4 linked regions of the Mus musculus genome follow. The protein of the gene in region 3 interacts with the protein of the main gene of each other region in a pairwise test. Links are inferred from orthologs where the notes say so. Each region holds a gene or a part of one and is shown on either strand. Other genes may lie near its edges.

Region 1 (4,008 bases), on a different chromosome or scaffold from region 3:
TATGAAAAAGTAGGGTTACTATCAAAGTCACTCTAACTTATCAGCCTAACCCCTTTTCTACAAAACATTTATAATGGCCTAAGTGTTATCTTATTTTGTACTTTGCTTCTCCTTTCCCGCGATCTCGGATTTGCTCTCCCCGCATAAACTTAACTGATAAAACCCCAAACCCTCCACCAATTTGGCAAGCGAACAAGTTCAGGCTTATTTACGGTTTTCTGGTAGGAAAAAGGCAAATCAAAGCAACAATCTCTTAGGCGTGTGGGGGGCATGCGGAGGGGTGGGGGGCATCGCAATCCCACGCTGCTGAGCGGAACGCTGGGTCAGAAATTCAAAAGTGCCACAGCAGAGAGGGGGGGGGGGAAAGGAATCAGAGTGGAGCGTTCCATCGGGAGGTGCGGGTGCGGGGAGGGCTGAGTAGAGCACAAAGTACACAGCTTGGGATCGGACGCCAAAGCAGAGTTACGGTTCCCAAATTTTCCCAGAGGTGTCAAACAAGTTTAGGAAGGTGGAACAATGCAGACCGGAAGGAAGCCGCGGGCCAAACAACTGGCAGCAAATTTCGGGAACGCCTCTTTTGGCGGGAGGGGTAGTGGGCGGGGCGACGCACGGTTCGGCCCATACCATTCGGGCCAGAGGGGGTCTGCGCCGAACTCCGCCAACTGACAGTTGGGAAGAGACTCGAGTTCAGTGTATGCCAAAAGGGAAAGCAAGTTCAGATCCAAGCCCCACCAAGAGGATCAAGGAACATTTCAGGGTTCACAATGTCTCGGGTTGCATGGGGGTAGGTTGTACTACTTTGCAGACAAGCAGGGGGAACCGGACCGGGACGCGCGCAGGGCCACAGCCGGTTTTAATCTCACCAGAGCCATTGGGTCCAATGATGGCGGTAAACCTCTGAAATGGTCCGATAATCTGTCGACCCTTGTACGATTTAAAGTTCTCGATCTCAATCAGTTTCAGGAAACCCATGACAGCGGCGCTGGCGTAGGAAAGGCCGCGCCTTACTCCTGGGAACGAGGTTAGCCCGCGCGGGAAATAGCGCAGTGCAAGCCGGGTGTACAGTAAGCCTCGCGATAATAAGTCCAAGCCAATCACGATTTCCTGTTTCCGGGGCCAGAAATGGTCACTTCCGCCTGAAATAGCGCTTTTGTTGAATTGTTGCCCGGCTGGAGCACGCGCTGGGCGCTCAGGCCCCGCCCCTCTACGTAGTTACCCAGCAACTGTTGAAGTGGCCGCCAACTAGGACGGGAAGCGTTAGTGCTCTGATCACTTCGGGGGAAATCAGAGCAAGCAGGCGGGGTCTGAGCCCACGCTTGCTGGGAAAGAAGTCACTTCAAGGTTCTGCCAGAGCTAGTGGGAGGCAGAAGCTCGGCTGGGGTTTGTAGTCTAGCCAGCAAGGGGGGAGACGGGGAGAAGCGCTTCAGCCAAGGATTCAGTCGGGAATGGGAAGGCGCCCTCGGAAGGGTGGGCAGTTTGGGATGGAAGAGGGATCAAAGGGAGGACTTAGATGAGGCGAGCTTAGAGTGTGAGGACGATGAGAGTATCTCTTAGACAACAGAGATACAAGTTGGGAAAGGCTGTGTTCTGAAATACTGCCCCTATCGTCTGCTTCTCTCTTATTTCTCCAAGCAGAATTTAAAGACTGCCGTTGTAAATCCAAGAGTCAACTTGGGTCCAATCCATTTTCGAGCTTCAAAACTGGAATTCTGTACTGAGAAAGGTATCTTGTGTGAACACTAGGAGTCCAGGTCCTTAAGCCAGTGCTCCAGCTCTGTCCTTTTCCCTCCCTGTTAAATCAAGTTTCCCCCATTTCCACCACTTCCCCTCTGTCTCTTTCCCTCCCCCTTTCTCTCCTCTCTCCCTCCCTTTCTCTTTCTCTCTCCTCTCTCCCTTCCTCTCCCCCTCCCCTCTCTCTCCTCTCCTTCCCTCTCCCTCTCTCCTCCCTCCCTCTCTCGCTCCAACTCTGTCCTTTTCCCTCCATTACATCAAGTTTCCCCCATTTCCACCTCTTCACCTCTCTCTCTCCCTCCCTCTTTCTCTCCCTCTCCCCCCTCTCTCTCCCCTCCTTCCCTCTCCCTCCCTCTTTTTCTCCTCTCTCCCCCCTCTCTTCCTCTCTCCTCTCTCTCCTTTATACCCTGTCCTTCTCCAATTCTTTTCCATCCCCTTTTTCTTCATTCTTTCATTCCCCTTCTATCACCTTATAGTCATGATCTTAGCAGCCCAGGATGTCTACTGAATCATCCCCCTATTGTGACAACAGATTGTCTTTATAGGCCGGGGTTAGTGCCATTTTCAGTTAGATATGGAAAGAGTCTGGTGGTTTCCACAGCTATTCCTGGGTATCTTCTTTTATTTTTTCAAAAGTTTCTCCATCTAGCTCTGACTGTCCTGGAACTCTGTAGACCAGGCTGGCCTCGAACTCAGAGATCCACCTGCTGGGATCAAAAGTGTGTGCCACCACTGCCCGGCTTTGTAACTGTGTGCAAGTGCAAGCGTGATCAAATGTGTGCACAAGCCACAGACATTAGGCATCAGATCCCTTGGAGCTGGAGTTACAGGTAGTTGTGAACCACCTAACACGAGTACTCAAAGAACTCTGAAAGAACTGGAAGTATTCTTAACCACCATGCCATCTCTCTAGTCCTATTCCTGTAACTATTTTTAAATAATGTCTAAAAGCTGGGAAGAATCCTAAAGAGTCTAGGAAGGTGAGAAAGCTCAGTTGATAGAATCTGATATGAAGCTCTTTTGGGAAACCAGTCACAGGCAACATGAGGGAATAAAATCATCAGAGGCTTGAAATCTCACATACATTTTTAAAAGTTACTATTTAATTTTCAAAGATTAAATGTAGCTTGGGAGAAAATTAAATTGGAGCCCTATCTCTAAATATATACAAAATCCAGTTTCAAATGGATTCAAAACAAATGATAAAGGCAAAACTTTAGGAATTGTGGAATATATAGGAGAGTATCTTTATAAATTTAGAATATGGAGAGGTTGTTTGTTTTACTGTTTGTTGTAGTTTGGTTGATTTGGTTTTCTTCTTTTTTGGGGGGGGGGAGCAGGGTCTCTGCATTGTCCTAACTGTCCTGGAACTCACTTTGTAGACCAGACTGGCCTCAAACTCAAGAGATTCACCTGCCTCTGCCTCCCAAGTGCTGGGATTAAAGGCGTGTGCCACCACACCTGGCCAGTTTTTTATTTTTATTTTATACTTTCATATATGTACCAATGAATATGGGTCATATCCACCCTCATATCAACATCTGTCCTCTAAAGCCCCATCGTATCCCACACATTTTTGTGATTCAGAGTCCAATTGGTCCTACCCACATGTGCATAGTATGCACCTGCAAGAAAATTGACAATTCCTTGGCAGGTATCAACTTCTAATAGCTCTTCAACTGGAAAGGAGCCTCGTCCATCCATGCTGGAAGGTTCACTGGCTTGCTCTTTTACCGGTCTTGTACAGGTCTCTTGCAGGTGACCACAGCTGCTGTGAATTCACAAGTGCATGGCTCTGTCATATCTAAAAGGCAGCATTTCCCAGTACTGCCCTCCATCCTCCAGCTCTTTCCATTCTGTCCAGTCCTTGTAGCATAACGGCCCCTGAACTTTGGAGTAGTGGTGATACACACACATCTCATTTAGGGCTAGGCACTCATTCTAGTCACTTATTCTCAACAGTTTGAGCGTTGTGAGTTTCTGCATAAACTTATCTAGAGAAAAAAGAAGCTCCTTGGAGAGCAGCACTAAACTATGAATATAAATACAGATATTTAGAAGGCAGGTTGACAGAAATGACCATTTAGAAAAACAGTACTAGTAGGTTCTCCCCCTAGGGCCTATGACCTGCCCAGACATGGACGTTTGACCAGATTTATAGTAGCAGGCATGAATTCCCTTTTGTGGACCAGAACCAGGTCTCAAATCTAATCAGAGTGGTTGGTTACACCCTATAATAGTCATGCCATTACTACACCAGTGGGCACATCTTACCTG
Region 2 (3,531 bases), on a different chromosome or scaffold from region 3:
TCATGGGGACAGTGATTATAGAAGCCCCGTGGTTTCATATCTTCAAGGCATCCGGCACAGGCTGAGTTCCAGCTTGGGGCCATGGGGTGAGGGGAGCTGTGGTGTGAGGGGATATGACCGCTGTGTTTGTCAAACTCTGATGGCAAGAATCATTGCATTAACCCCAGATCCCTCTTTCCTCTCCAAAACACCCAAATCAGAATCTCAAGGGAGCAGTCTGGGAAACCATCACTGGAAGAATCCTTGGGCAGTTAGGGAATCACTCTCTGGGAGAGTATAACAGTCTTGCCAAGGGAGCCAAAGGGGTCGGGGGTCAGGGGTCAGGGGTCAGGGGGCCCGACAGATCCAACTACCTATAGTCCTGGACGAAGATGTTACTTCTTAGAGCTTCCACATCCTTTCATGAACTCTAAGAGATCTTATCTGTATTCAAGGATTGAGACACTGAACAGCATACAGAAGACTCTGCAGTCGCCCTTAACTTTGGCCCCACTAGGAACTGGGTCTGCAGAAAGAGCCCCCGACACCCTGATGTAGACTATACACACCAAGAGAAGGCAGAAGACATGGACATTCCATGCACAGTCGATTGCCAGAGGCTGGGTAGGCCTTTTAGCCACCTTAGCATCTGAAGGACCCCCACTTAGGCTCAGAGCTTTCTGAGGATTGGACAGAGGGTTTCTTTGTGAGTGGGGAGAAGGCAATTAGCGGGTAGTCCTTAAAACTGCAGTCATATATCCACAGAAACCAATTCTCTGGACTCTTACCCCTGGTTCAGAAATCTTGAGTGATGATTGTCCTAAATCACCTTAGATGTTCTATATGGACTTTACTGGTGCTGGGTCATCGGTGCTCATACAGGCCTGGCCTAAAACCCCTCTCAGCTTCAGCCACCTCATGCACTGCGTGGTGAGGCCCGGACTTGGAATCCAGGCTGAGTATGTTGACAAACTCTAAAAGTCAAGCAGGTCTGTTTTCTCTACCCTCCTCGTTATGAAGGGAGGACATATGCTGTTCTGACACCTGTCTGGACTTCCTGGCACTGGTTTGGACAACAAACAGTGTGACTGTTTAACAAAAAGGAAAGAGAGTCAGAAAAGCCCTGGACAGCCTCTGACCTGCTCTGACTTCCTGGCAGGCTGAGTGTCGCTTGGTCGCCTTGACCACCAGAGGGAGAAACCTTGGGAACATTTGCTCAGGACTCTGTGCCCTGAAACAACAAACCACCATCCCATGCTCTCTTGCAGTCACTCTCCTTGACCTGGGGATTCAAGGAGTATGCTTGCCCAGAGCCCTGGAGATGCACCCCCGCCAACACCACACCTTACTATTCTAAATACATATCTCAAGCCAAAGTTGCTAACGAGCTTGGAGAAACGGGTAAAAAGGAAGACAGTGGTGGCGATGAAGGAGCTGAGCCAGCAAATCCAAGAAACCAAATGCCGGCGGGAAAGGCTGCTGAAGGACAGCAGGCAGCTACTAGAGGAAAAATACCGTGTGCAGGCTGAAAACCAGCTTTTCATGGAATACCTGCGTAAAAATAAGGAACAGTGTGAGAAGAAACAGGAGGAGCTGTGGAAGCAGTACGTCCAAGAATGTGGCGAGATAGAACGCGAGAGACAAGAATTGGCATCCAGATACAACCAGAGAAACGCAGCTCTTCAAGCCCAGCTCCTGCAGGGCAGAAAGACCCAGAAGGATTTGAAGCAGCAGTTGCAGGCACTGAAGCCAGTTTACAAGATAAAGGAGGGCCAGGACGTGAAAATACAGACCTTGGAGAAGGAGCAAGAGAAAGTCCGAAGTGAGACTGCGACCAAGGACCGGGAGGCGCACTTCCAGTTCCTGCGGGAAAAGGCACTGATGGAGAAGGAGCTGCAAGAGTGGCATCTGATGGAGCTGGGGCAGATCAACACCACGGGGCTTACGAGGAAGTACAAGGCCTTGGCGCTAGCAGCCAAGCAGGCTCATTCTGAGTTCTGTGGCAGTCTCCACAGGGAGAACCAGCAGCTACGCAAGGAGCTTCAGCAACTGAGCCAGGAGTACGGCAGGTTGGATGCTGTGAGGAGCCAGCTGGAAAAGCACCGGCAGCTGGCGAAGGAGCAGCAGTGGTACCTAGAAGCCTTGACCAGAGGGCGGCAGCGGCTGCAGGCAGAACGCGAGCGCCATCATCGTGGTCATAACCCACGCCTCAAGGAACAGAGAGCTTCAAAGACCATGCTGAGCACCAAATCAAAAGCAAGTTCAAAGTAACAGCTACTGCAACTGAATTGAGGCGCAGGGAATAATCTACAAGCCAAAAAGTATCCTTCGTGGAAAATAGAAACACACTTTCAGGAAGGGCAGTTGTTGCAGCATGGGGTCGTGCTCCTTGTCTGGGACCCACATCCTCACTGTCTGTGTCCCTGGGGCTGTTGTAGATTCCGGAGATTTAGAACACTTGGAAAACTTTTTAACGGGTTATACCACCCATTTTTATAGTAGCATTTGAAATTCTCAGAGTACCTAGTTAAGACATGTATTTTACCACACTTTTTTTTTCTTAATGTGTACTCTGCAGTCCACAAAGTATAGTGTATAGCTTACATGTTCTATGTATTTTGGGCCATTTGAAGCAAATAAGAATCTTATTTTAAATTGTAGGGGTTTGTTGGTTTAGAAGGGTTTCAGGTTTGCATTTGTGATGAACTGTTTTTGTTGAACTGTGGGCTCTGGTCTGGAAGAATAGCCTTGTTTTTGGGTCATGCCCCTGCATGGGGAAAAACATAGCCAGCTTCATGTTTCTCAGAAATTTTTGGCAATGAAAACTTCAAGGTAACTGTTTAGCTTTATTTATGTGTAAAACAGTTAAAAAAAAACAACAGGATTAAAGGGTAACTTAGCTTGTCAATGTGCCTTATCATCTACTTTTAACATTGTTGGCGAATATATATACTTTGCCATTAAACAGGGTTGTTAAAAACAAAATTTAACTGTAATTAGTTCTTAATGCTCCCCAGATTTATTAATGTAATAAAAATACTATATCCCTCAATATTTTATGGTATTATTGCCACCCCTTTGAAATGACAGAACATGCATGTGATGATGTACACCTGGTAAATAATGTAAGCATCCTGACTTGGGGTCAGGCCACTATGTCACTGGCTAACAGGTGGGTAGTGTATACAGCATGGACGCACTGGGCAAGGATGATTTGTGACCCTTATGTGATGCCAGCATGGTACAAGGTCTCACAACACTACTCAGACACACAAAATATATGAATTGCATTCTTCCAGAATTTTCCATTTTGTTTTGGACTGAAACTGAACACAGACAACTGAAAGGTAGAAAGGGACGCCGTGTGTCAGGGGAATTGTCACAGTGCCAATCCAGTCCCCCCATCTCCACTGCCACCCCTGCCTACTGTTTGTAAAGGAGAGTCCACAGACCAAAGGCTGTTATCTTTAAAGCATTCTTACACTTCATTCTTTTCTCATGGAATAAGTATTATAAGCTCACCTTGAGCTTCGAGGCCAACTTCAGATCTTT
Region 3 (3,500 bases):
TCTGCGGAGAGAGTGAACAATACATGAATGAACCTGGTACTCTCCATGACAGCTGGTTTTCCCTAAAGCCCGGCTTTACTGCCTTTATGATCAAACTCTTAAGAAATTACACATGTATAACATCTCAGGACTTCCAGAGTGCTGGGATTAAAGGTGAGTGTTACCACACCTGGCTCAATCAAAAGTGAGGCTACTGCCACAGATTTCTACTAGTGTAGAAACAACATTAAGTTACTATACCAGTGTTTGTTAACTACTAAAAAAAATAGGTACATGTGAAACATACTATTGTTTAAGGTTTATTTTGATGTACATGCATGCCAGGTGCCTGAGGAGGCCAAGAGATCACTGGATACCCAGGGCTGGAGTCACAACAGGTTATAAATGGGAGCTGACTAGGTCTTCTGTAAGAGCAACAAGTGCCCGTACCTGCTGAGCAATCTCTCCTGTTCCATGCACTGCATTACTTTTGTTGTTTGTTCGTTTGTTTTGGTTTTCTGAGACAGGGTCTCATATATCCCAGGCTGACTTCAAACTTGCTTTAGAGCTGAGACTGGCCTTGAGTTCAATTCTCCTGCTTCTGCCTCACAAGCTAGGATTACAAGTGTGTACCCCCATGCCCAGCTTTAAAAATTAATTCTAAATTAGCATTGTATGTTAAAAGGCCAGGGCTTACCAGTTATAACCAAAAGCAGGGTCATAAAGACTTCCGCACAGTCTGGAACCTTCATTTCATCCACATCAGAGATGTCTTTATACTGGGATACCCAGGCAGCCTCTGACGAAAGCATTGAGTCCATTTTTTGAAGAGCAACTAACACGAAGGAAGAAGGATCAGTTATTTCATCCTTCAGTTATCAACTCACACTTTTTTTTAAGGAACTATGTTTTTCATACAAAATAAATTTTTAATCTCCCACTAACTAATCACACTATACTTAAAATGTCTACTTCAGAGTTAAATAAGATACCTGATTCTCCCTCAATAGTTATGCTGACTAGAAGTGGCACATCTGAAAATACCCAACCAAGAGTTGAAACTGTGTATGGCAGAAATCTACAGAACATCACTACCTTCTACTGGTTTGCTATCCCAACATGTAGACTGTAATTAAAACAAACAAACAAAAAGAACCCAAAACAAACAGAAGTCTTGTGGAAAGAAGACTGTCTTTGAAGGTAGTTCAGTAGATCCTGCCCAGGAAAGATTTAGGCGCCTATAGTTCTTACTCAGAGCTGTAAGAAAATCAAAACTCCGAAACTTTATACACCAAAACCAGCCATTGCCAGGCAGTGGTGGTCCATCCCCTTAATCCTAGCATTTGAGAGCAAAGGCAAGTGGATCTTAATGAGTTTGAGGCCAACTTGGTCTATACAGAGCGTTCCACGTCAGCTAAGGCTACACAGTGAGACTCTGTGTAAAAACAAAAACAAAAGCAAGCAAAAAAAACAACAACAGAAACAAACTAAAACCATCCAGAGAGCCCTCCCGCTCGACAGCCATACGGGCGCTTACACTTTCTCTCCACAGTCAGCCATCTCTGGAAACAGGTCTCCTCCGACAGGATGTGCATGCAGCTGGCGAATGTGCTGGGATAGCCGTGAACGGTGTGCAGCTCCCTTTCAAACAGCAGCACCTCATCCACCAGGTGACAGAAGAGGCTGTCATCGTAGAGCAGGCAGGGGATATCAGAAGCCAGCTTCTCAAGAATGAGCATCACAAGGCCACGGGAAAACTCAAGCTGAAAGAAAGGCACAGGCATGGGGGTTGTGCCCAACTCCAAGGAAGCTGAAAGGCACAGGCTCAGCCTCTTACCCTTGCATTTACTGCAGAGCCCACTTTGTCCAATATTGGCTGAATCTTCTCATCCAGAAACTGTGTATGGTTTCCAATCCACATAAGTACCTGAGCCAAGTACCATTCAGGCTAAGGGGAAGGGAAAATGGTATCAATTCTTTATGTATTCTATGGTGATGGGAAATTCTAATTAAATGCACTTAGTTAAAAACAGACACAAAAATTAATTGAAAATTCCTGAATGTAAGAAAATAATTCTTATCCCGCACTTCAATTTCACAAAAGACTTCATAATCAAATGTTTACCAATATACTTCCACAACAAATTCCAATAATGCGGCTTAAGTCAGTAAACTCATAATTTAAAATACCACATTGGGATTAGGTGTGGCTTGCTGGTATAACATCTGCCTAGCTACAAAGCCTGTTTTAACCCCAGCATCACTAAAAGAGGAAGAGAGGGCATAAGAACAATCATGAAGAAAAGTCTCTCTCACACTTAAGAACAAGCATCTGCCCAGCACACACAAAGCCCTGATTCCAGAGCAAAACTAAACAAGCAGACAAAAGCCACGGCACAGGGTGGGCCGATGGGTAAAGGCACCTGCCAGCAAGCCTGACAACCCGAGCTTGATCCCCAGAATCCACATGGGAGGGAGAAAGCCAACTCCCACAGACTGTTCCTGGCCTACACAGAAAACAAAAACCAAACTTTTTAAAGCCCTCCAAACCTAGCATGATGAGGCATTACAAACAACCAAAACTTTTACGTTGTTTTTTGAAATAGCACTCCAAAACAGAAGGCTCTGAGATAGGATCTCAGGTAGCCCACGCCAGCCTCAACGTCTCTATGTGCCTGAGGGTAATGAACGCTGGGTCTTCTTCTCTACTTCCCTAGTGCGAGGGTTTCGAGCATGCACCGTCACCTGTGACTTATGTGGTGCTGAGGACCAACCTGGGCTCCATGTGAGCGGAGCAAGCACTCTGCCTACACTGAGCTGCGAATAATTTTAAACATGATTTCTTTTCTGCTTCCTCTTTTTAAAAGGTAAAGTAAGGAAAAAGAGTCAACTGCTCTAATTACAAATATACCTAAGCCTTAACATAGGTGTAACTTCCTAAAGGAAATAGGCACAAAGCATTCACATTTCTTCCACTTTGCTCTGTGTGCACGCATGTTTGAATGTTTGTGTCTGTGTACAATGCCACTGTGTACGGGCACAATCAGATGACACCCTGTGGGAGTCACTTTTCCCTTGCCACTACCATGTGAGTCCTGGGGATCAAACTCAAGCTGGCAGGTTTGGAGGTATGTGGCTTCACCTACTGGGCCATGCCACCTGTCCCACATACAGCATTTTAAGTTGTCTTTAGAGAGGATTCTGCAAGCATTTCAAAAGTTTTTCTAGACGACAACTTGAAACCATATAGTAGGCTGGGGCTATAATTCAGGGATAGAGCATTTGCCTCCCACATGCAAGGCCTCAGTTCAATCCCCAGCACTGACTGGCAAATCCCCATGTGTCCTAAATGTTGGGGATATAAACAAGGGCTGCATCTAATCTCATGACTGTCTCCATGACAGTGTACTAAATTCATTAGGATCACACTTTCAAAATGAGCCAACACAACGCAGAATTTTCTTTCTTTCATTTTTTTTTTTTTTTTTTTTTGGTTTTTCGAGACAGGGTTTCTCTGTGTA
Region 4 (3,983 bases), on a different chromosome or scaffold from region 3:
AATAAAAACTATACTTTATTTATATGTACTTAGTTTTTACCGTGTGTCCTCTGTCTATTTCAAGATCCTACAATACATTTAGAAATCATATTTCTCTTGTTTCCTCATAAATGTGCAGAGTCTCAGAATTTTCTACTTACCTTTTATAGTTTGGAGGCATGGTAGTAGTCCTTCTTTGTTTTATATTTTTGTTTTGTTTTGGTTTTGTTTTTAGTTTTTTTCTTTCTTTCTTTTTTTTTTTTTTTTTGAGAATATGTAGACCTGGCTTGCTTTGAGCTATGTAATTAAATGAGCTTTGTAGCTTGAAATTTCCATCTTATAAATTAATACATTTTCATAACTTTAGAGATACTTGCTTTTCCATTTTGGGCCATTAAGAACACATACTTTTATTGTTTTTGTTATTCATGCTGTTGCTATTGTTGAAATTGGGTCTCGTGTAGTCCAGCCTGCCTTTGAACTTCCCGAACAAGTATTCCACTCCCAGTTTGTGTGGTGTTGAGGATCCCACAGGGGGCTTTGTGCATGCATGTCAAGCCAGCACGTTACAGATTCAGCTACATCCCTAAACCCGGGAACTAATGCTTTTAAACACTTTTCTATACGAAGCTTTTTAAAAATAAGCTATGCTCTGCATCGGAGTTTTTTGCCTGCATGTACGTGTGTGCTTGGTGTCCCAAAAACAAGTCAGATGCTCAGAACTGGAGTTATCGACAATTGTGAACTGCTGTATGGGAACTGAACTCCGGTTCAGTACCATATCTGACTCTGGCTTCGATATATTTTTATAAAATATTCAAAAGTCTGGGTACGTACTGCTTCTGACTTTAAACTAAGGGAACCCAGAAGGATCTGTTACAACTAAGAGAGAAGCATTAGTGCATACAATGTGGTTAGACCAGAGGCTTGAGGGGAAACAGCAGGCAGGTCAGATAAATCCTTAAAAGAGAAGCCTTGCTGACAAGAATGAAGACGGTGATTAGGAACAATATAGGATTTATTGATACTTAGAGAAAAATCCAAGAAGCCAAAGGTGAATCCTAGGCTTATGAGCTTTATATTTTGGATGTTATCTTTAACCTGGGCCAAAAATTCTTAATTTCCAATAAACCCATCACCCAATACCCGCTTTCTCTTTCCATCATCACATTACTACACTTCCCAGAGTTCCACGCTCCAACCTTCATCACCTTTGAGTCTGCCGCACAGATTGCTGGGAGTTGAGGTCTCCTTCCTATTTACCCAAGTTAGTGATAGGGGCCTGCGGAAACATGAAGAGGTAAGGTCATATCCGGGTTGCTGAAGGCAACTTTTATCTTTTACTATGAAACTTTTGTGTCTTTTTTTTTTTTTTCCCTTTTGTTTGGGATGTGTCACGTTCTTGAGGGGCGGTTTTTCTCCAGCGGGAAGACAAAGGAGAAAGGAGGAGGGAAGGCCGGCAGGCTGGACCAGTCTGCGGGGGTGAAGTTCTGGAAGGGCCGTAGCCAGGCGGGTTTCCACTGGAATGTTTCCCTCAGGGCAGAAGCGTCTGGAGCTGCCTGGCCTCTCACATTCCTGACTCTCCGGATGCTCACGCCAGCCACTCCCTGGCCCGCCCGCTGGTCCTGCTAGGTCTCACCGGCCAGAGGGTCAGAGGGTGGGCACTTTACTTTGTCTAGATTTTAAAGACATAATGGGCCCGCCACACCGGGTAGTGCTTTGAGATCTTCAAGTTACAGGGTGATAGTTTGCATCTCCAAATTGAGCGCAGATCTGGCTTCGGGTGCTTTGGAAGAAGAAAGGAAACTTAGGGCAGTTTCCCCTCCTGATTCTGCAGTAAATGGCCCTTTGAGCCTGGTGCGGACCTCCCTGAGGCCGGAGCTTCCCAGTTATTGACAGGACAGGAAACCTTAAGAAAAAGGAGCCACTTAGTTTTGGCTTCACACTGCCATTGAATCTTCGCACTGGAACAGTGGCACAAAGAACCTGTTTAGGAATGCTTTCTCCTGAATTGTTTTTAAAAGGTTTTTGTTGTTGTTTGTTTCATTTGTTGTCTTGTTTTCATGTTTCCTCTGCTTGAATTATTTTAATTATTCTGTGATGAGATTCCTCATACATGGAAAGTGAATCTAGTGTATTGCTTGGGTGATTATAAAGAGCTGTTTGCTATACAGGTTAAGAGGTAGGACATGATTCACATAAGTGCCTTAGAAGCCCCCTTGGCTCTCAGATTGCTTCTTCCCCTTTTATCTAGGAGTTTGCACCAATTACAATTATTCCTTTGCCTTTTGTTTGTTTGTTTTTGTTTTGTTTTCTTGGGTTTTTTTAAGACAAGGTTTCTCTGTGTAGCCCTGGCTGTCCTGGAACTCATTCTGTAGACCAGACTGGCCTCGAACTCAGAAATCCGCTTGCCTCTGCCTCCTAGGTCCTGGGATTAAAGGTGTGAGCCACCACAGCCCAGCTGTTTGTTCCTGTTTTGTTTTTTGTTTTTTAGTTCATTTTCCACATAAGAGTTTAATCCCTGAACAAAATATTCCTAGTATCATCTGTGCTTTAACCTTATATAAATGAGAGTATATTGTCTTTTTCTGTGATAAGCTTTTTTTAAAAACCCACAGTATTTCTCAATAGAGCCATGTGTGTTGATATGCTTATTCATGTTTAACAGATTAAATTTAGCAGTAACTTTTGGGATTGTAAATAAAGATAGACTTAAAAGGTTTTTAAAAACTTAGTTCTAGAGTTATTTTAGAATATTTCAATATGGGTCCAGCTCTTTCTAGGAATCTTATAATTACAGGGATTTTTTTGTACTTATTATAAACCCCAGTAGACAAGGTCTGTTTGGTAAGAAATTCGATATTTAGTTTTCTCATGGATTTAACTCATCTTTGTGTTTGTTCATGTGTCTCTACCCTGTTCTCATATGGTTACATGGTTGTGTTATTTCTTGGGACGTGAGTAAGAGTTCTTAATCACTTGAGGTTGGCTCACAGCCCTGATCCAGTTGTCTACCCCACAAGACGCTCTTCATACTTTCTGCCCTTCTTCAGAATTTCTTCTCTAGTGGCTTCAGATCTTATGACCTCACATGGCTTCAGCTTCCTCTGTGTTGAGCCTCAGACTGTCCTCCCGGTAAGAACTGTAGCCAGTCAACGTTTGTTGTTGCTTCAGACCAGTGCCTTGGAAGTGCACTTCATGGGAGGATTTCAGAGTTGGAAGGGCTGCTCACCTCAGTGTAGGTTGTAGTGACACTGACCTTCCATGTATCCCAGCTGGAACCATTTTCCTTCCTTCATACCCACATTCTGTGAAGCTGTGCCAACAGCTCGAAATTGAGTGTTTGCATTTATGTGCCTGTCTGTTTTACTTTTTTAACATCATTCACCTAAAGGCTTTTCCCACTGAATCCTTCCTTTGTATTTCTGCTAGTTCTACCCTAGTCTGCACCTTCATTGCCACATACCTCAATAGTTTCCTAACTAGTTGCTCTAGTTCTATCTTCTAATCCACATGGTCTTAAACACTGCTTACTCTTTGACACCTAGTGGACTGATAAATTGCTTCCTAATCCGTGTATGCTCAGGTCTGGTCCAGAATCCCTTACTTCGTGTATTTAAGGCTGTTCAAAGCGAGTATCTAAATAGAGGTTCCAGGTATCCCACAATTCGTGGTCTGTCTCTTTGTATTTGCTTTCCTTTACTTTGTCACATCCAATCTTTCCCGTACCAGTTTAAGAATACTATTCTGAAGTTATCTTTACCACTTTAGCTCCCAGGTTAGCCCTTTCTTCTGCAAACTTCTACTCATTTGAGCATGGTTCTCTATTATTATTTAGATTCCCTCTCTTTATAGACACAGGTACACAGCACAAGAGGATATACATCTTCTCCCTAAATATATTACAAATTCCTTGATCAAAACTATGCCTAGAATATCTTTAATTTCCACAAGTAGTATCTTAGTTAACTTTTCTACTGCTGTGAAAAGACAACATGACCAAC

What was found. The genes of interacting proteins can lie anywhere in the genome.
Region 1: the proteins of Rint1 (region 3) and Ribc1 interact in binary tests that used the Homo sapiens proteins (3 or more experiments, as listed by UniProt). The two-hybrid records come from large-scale screens. The link is inferred for Mus musculus from reciprocal best matches to the Homo sapiens genes RINT1 and RIBC1.
Region 2: the proteins of Rint1 (region 3) and Ccdc121 interact in binary tests that used the Homo sapiens proteins (3 or more experiments, as listed by UniProt). The two-hybrid records come from large-scale screens. The link is inferred for Mus musculus from reciprocal best matches to the Homo sapiens genes RINT1 and CCDC121.
Region 4: the proteins of Rint1 (region 3) and Rbm41 interact in binary tests that used the Homo sapiens proteins (3 or more experiments, as listed by UniProt). The two-hybrid records come from large-scale screens. The link is inferred for Mus musculus from reciprocal best matches to the Homo sapiens genes RINT1 and RBM41.

What each region holds. Positions count from the first base shown.
Region 1 is NC_000086.7:152,013,496-152,017,503, reverse strand, and holds the start of Ribc1 (RIB43A-like with coiled-coils protein 1), read left to right. Parts: upstream 1-1,208; 5' UTR 1,209-1,341; exon of another isoform or gene 1,342-1,380; intron 1,381-1,635; 5' UTR 1,636-1,723; intron 1,724-3,197; exon of another isoform or gene 3,198-3,502; intron 3,503-4,008. Other genes in the region: Smc1a (structural maintenance of chromosomes protein 1A), read right to left, coding at 864-972.
Region 2 is NC_000067.6:181,509,133-181,512,663, reverse strand, and holds Ccdc121 (coiled-coil domain containing 121), read left to right. Parts: upstream 1-1,212; 5' UTR 1,213-1,278; coding exon 1,279-2,250; 3' UTR 2,251-3,031; downstream 3,032-3,531.
Region 3 is NC_000071.6:23,808,211-23,811,710, reverse strand, and holds part of Rint1 (RAD50-interacting protein 1), read right to left. Parts: intron 1,928-3,500; coding exon 1,817-1,927; intron 1,743-1,816; coding exon 1,517-1,742; intron 815-1,516; coding exon 677-814; intron 2-676; coding exon 1-1. UniProt on the Homo sapiens protein: Involved in regulation of membrane traffic between the Golgi and the endoplasmic reticulum (ER); the function is proposed to depend on its association in the NRZ complex which is believed to play a role in SNARE assembly at the ER.
Region 4 is NC_000086.7:139,995,796-139,999,778, reverse strand, and holds the start of Rbm41 (RNA-binding protein 41), read left to right. Parts: upstream 1-1,183; 5' UTR 1,184-1,271; coding exon 1,272-1,279; intron 1,280-3,032; exon of another isoform or gene 3,033-3,070; coding exon of another isoform or gene 3,071-3,114; intron 3,115-3,983. UniProt on the Homo sapiens protein: May bind RNA.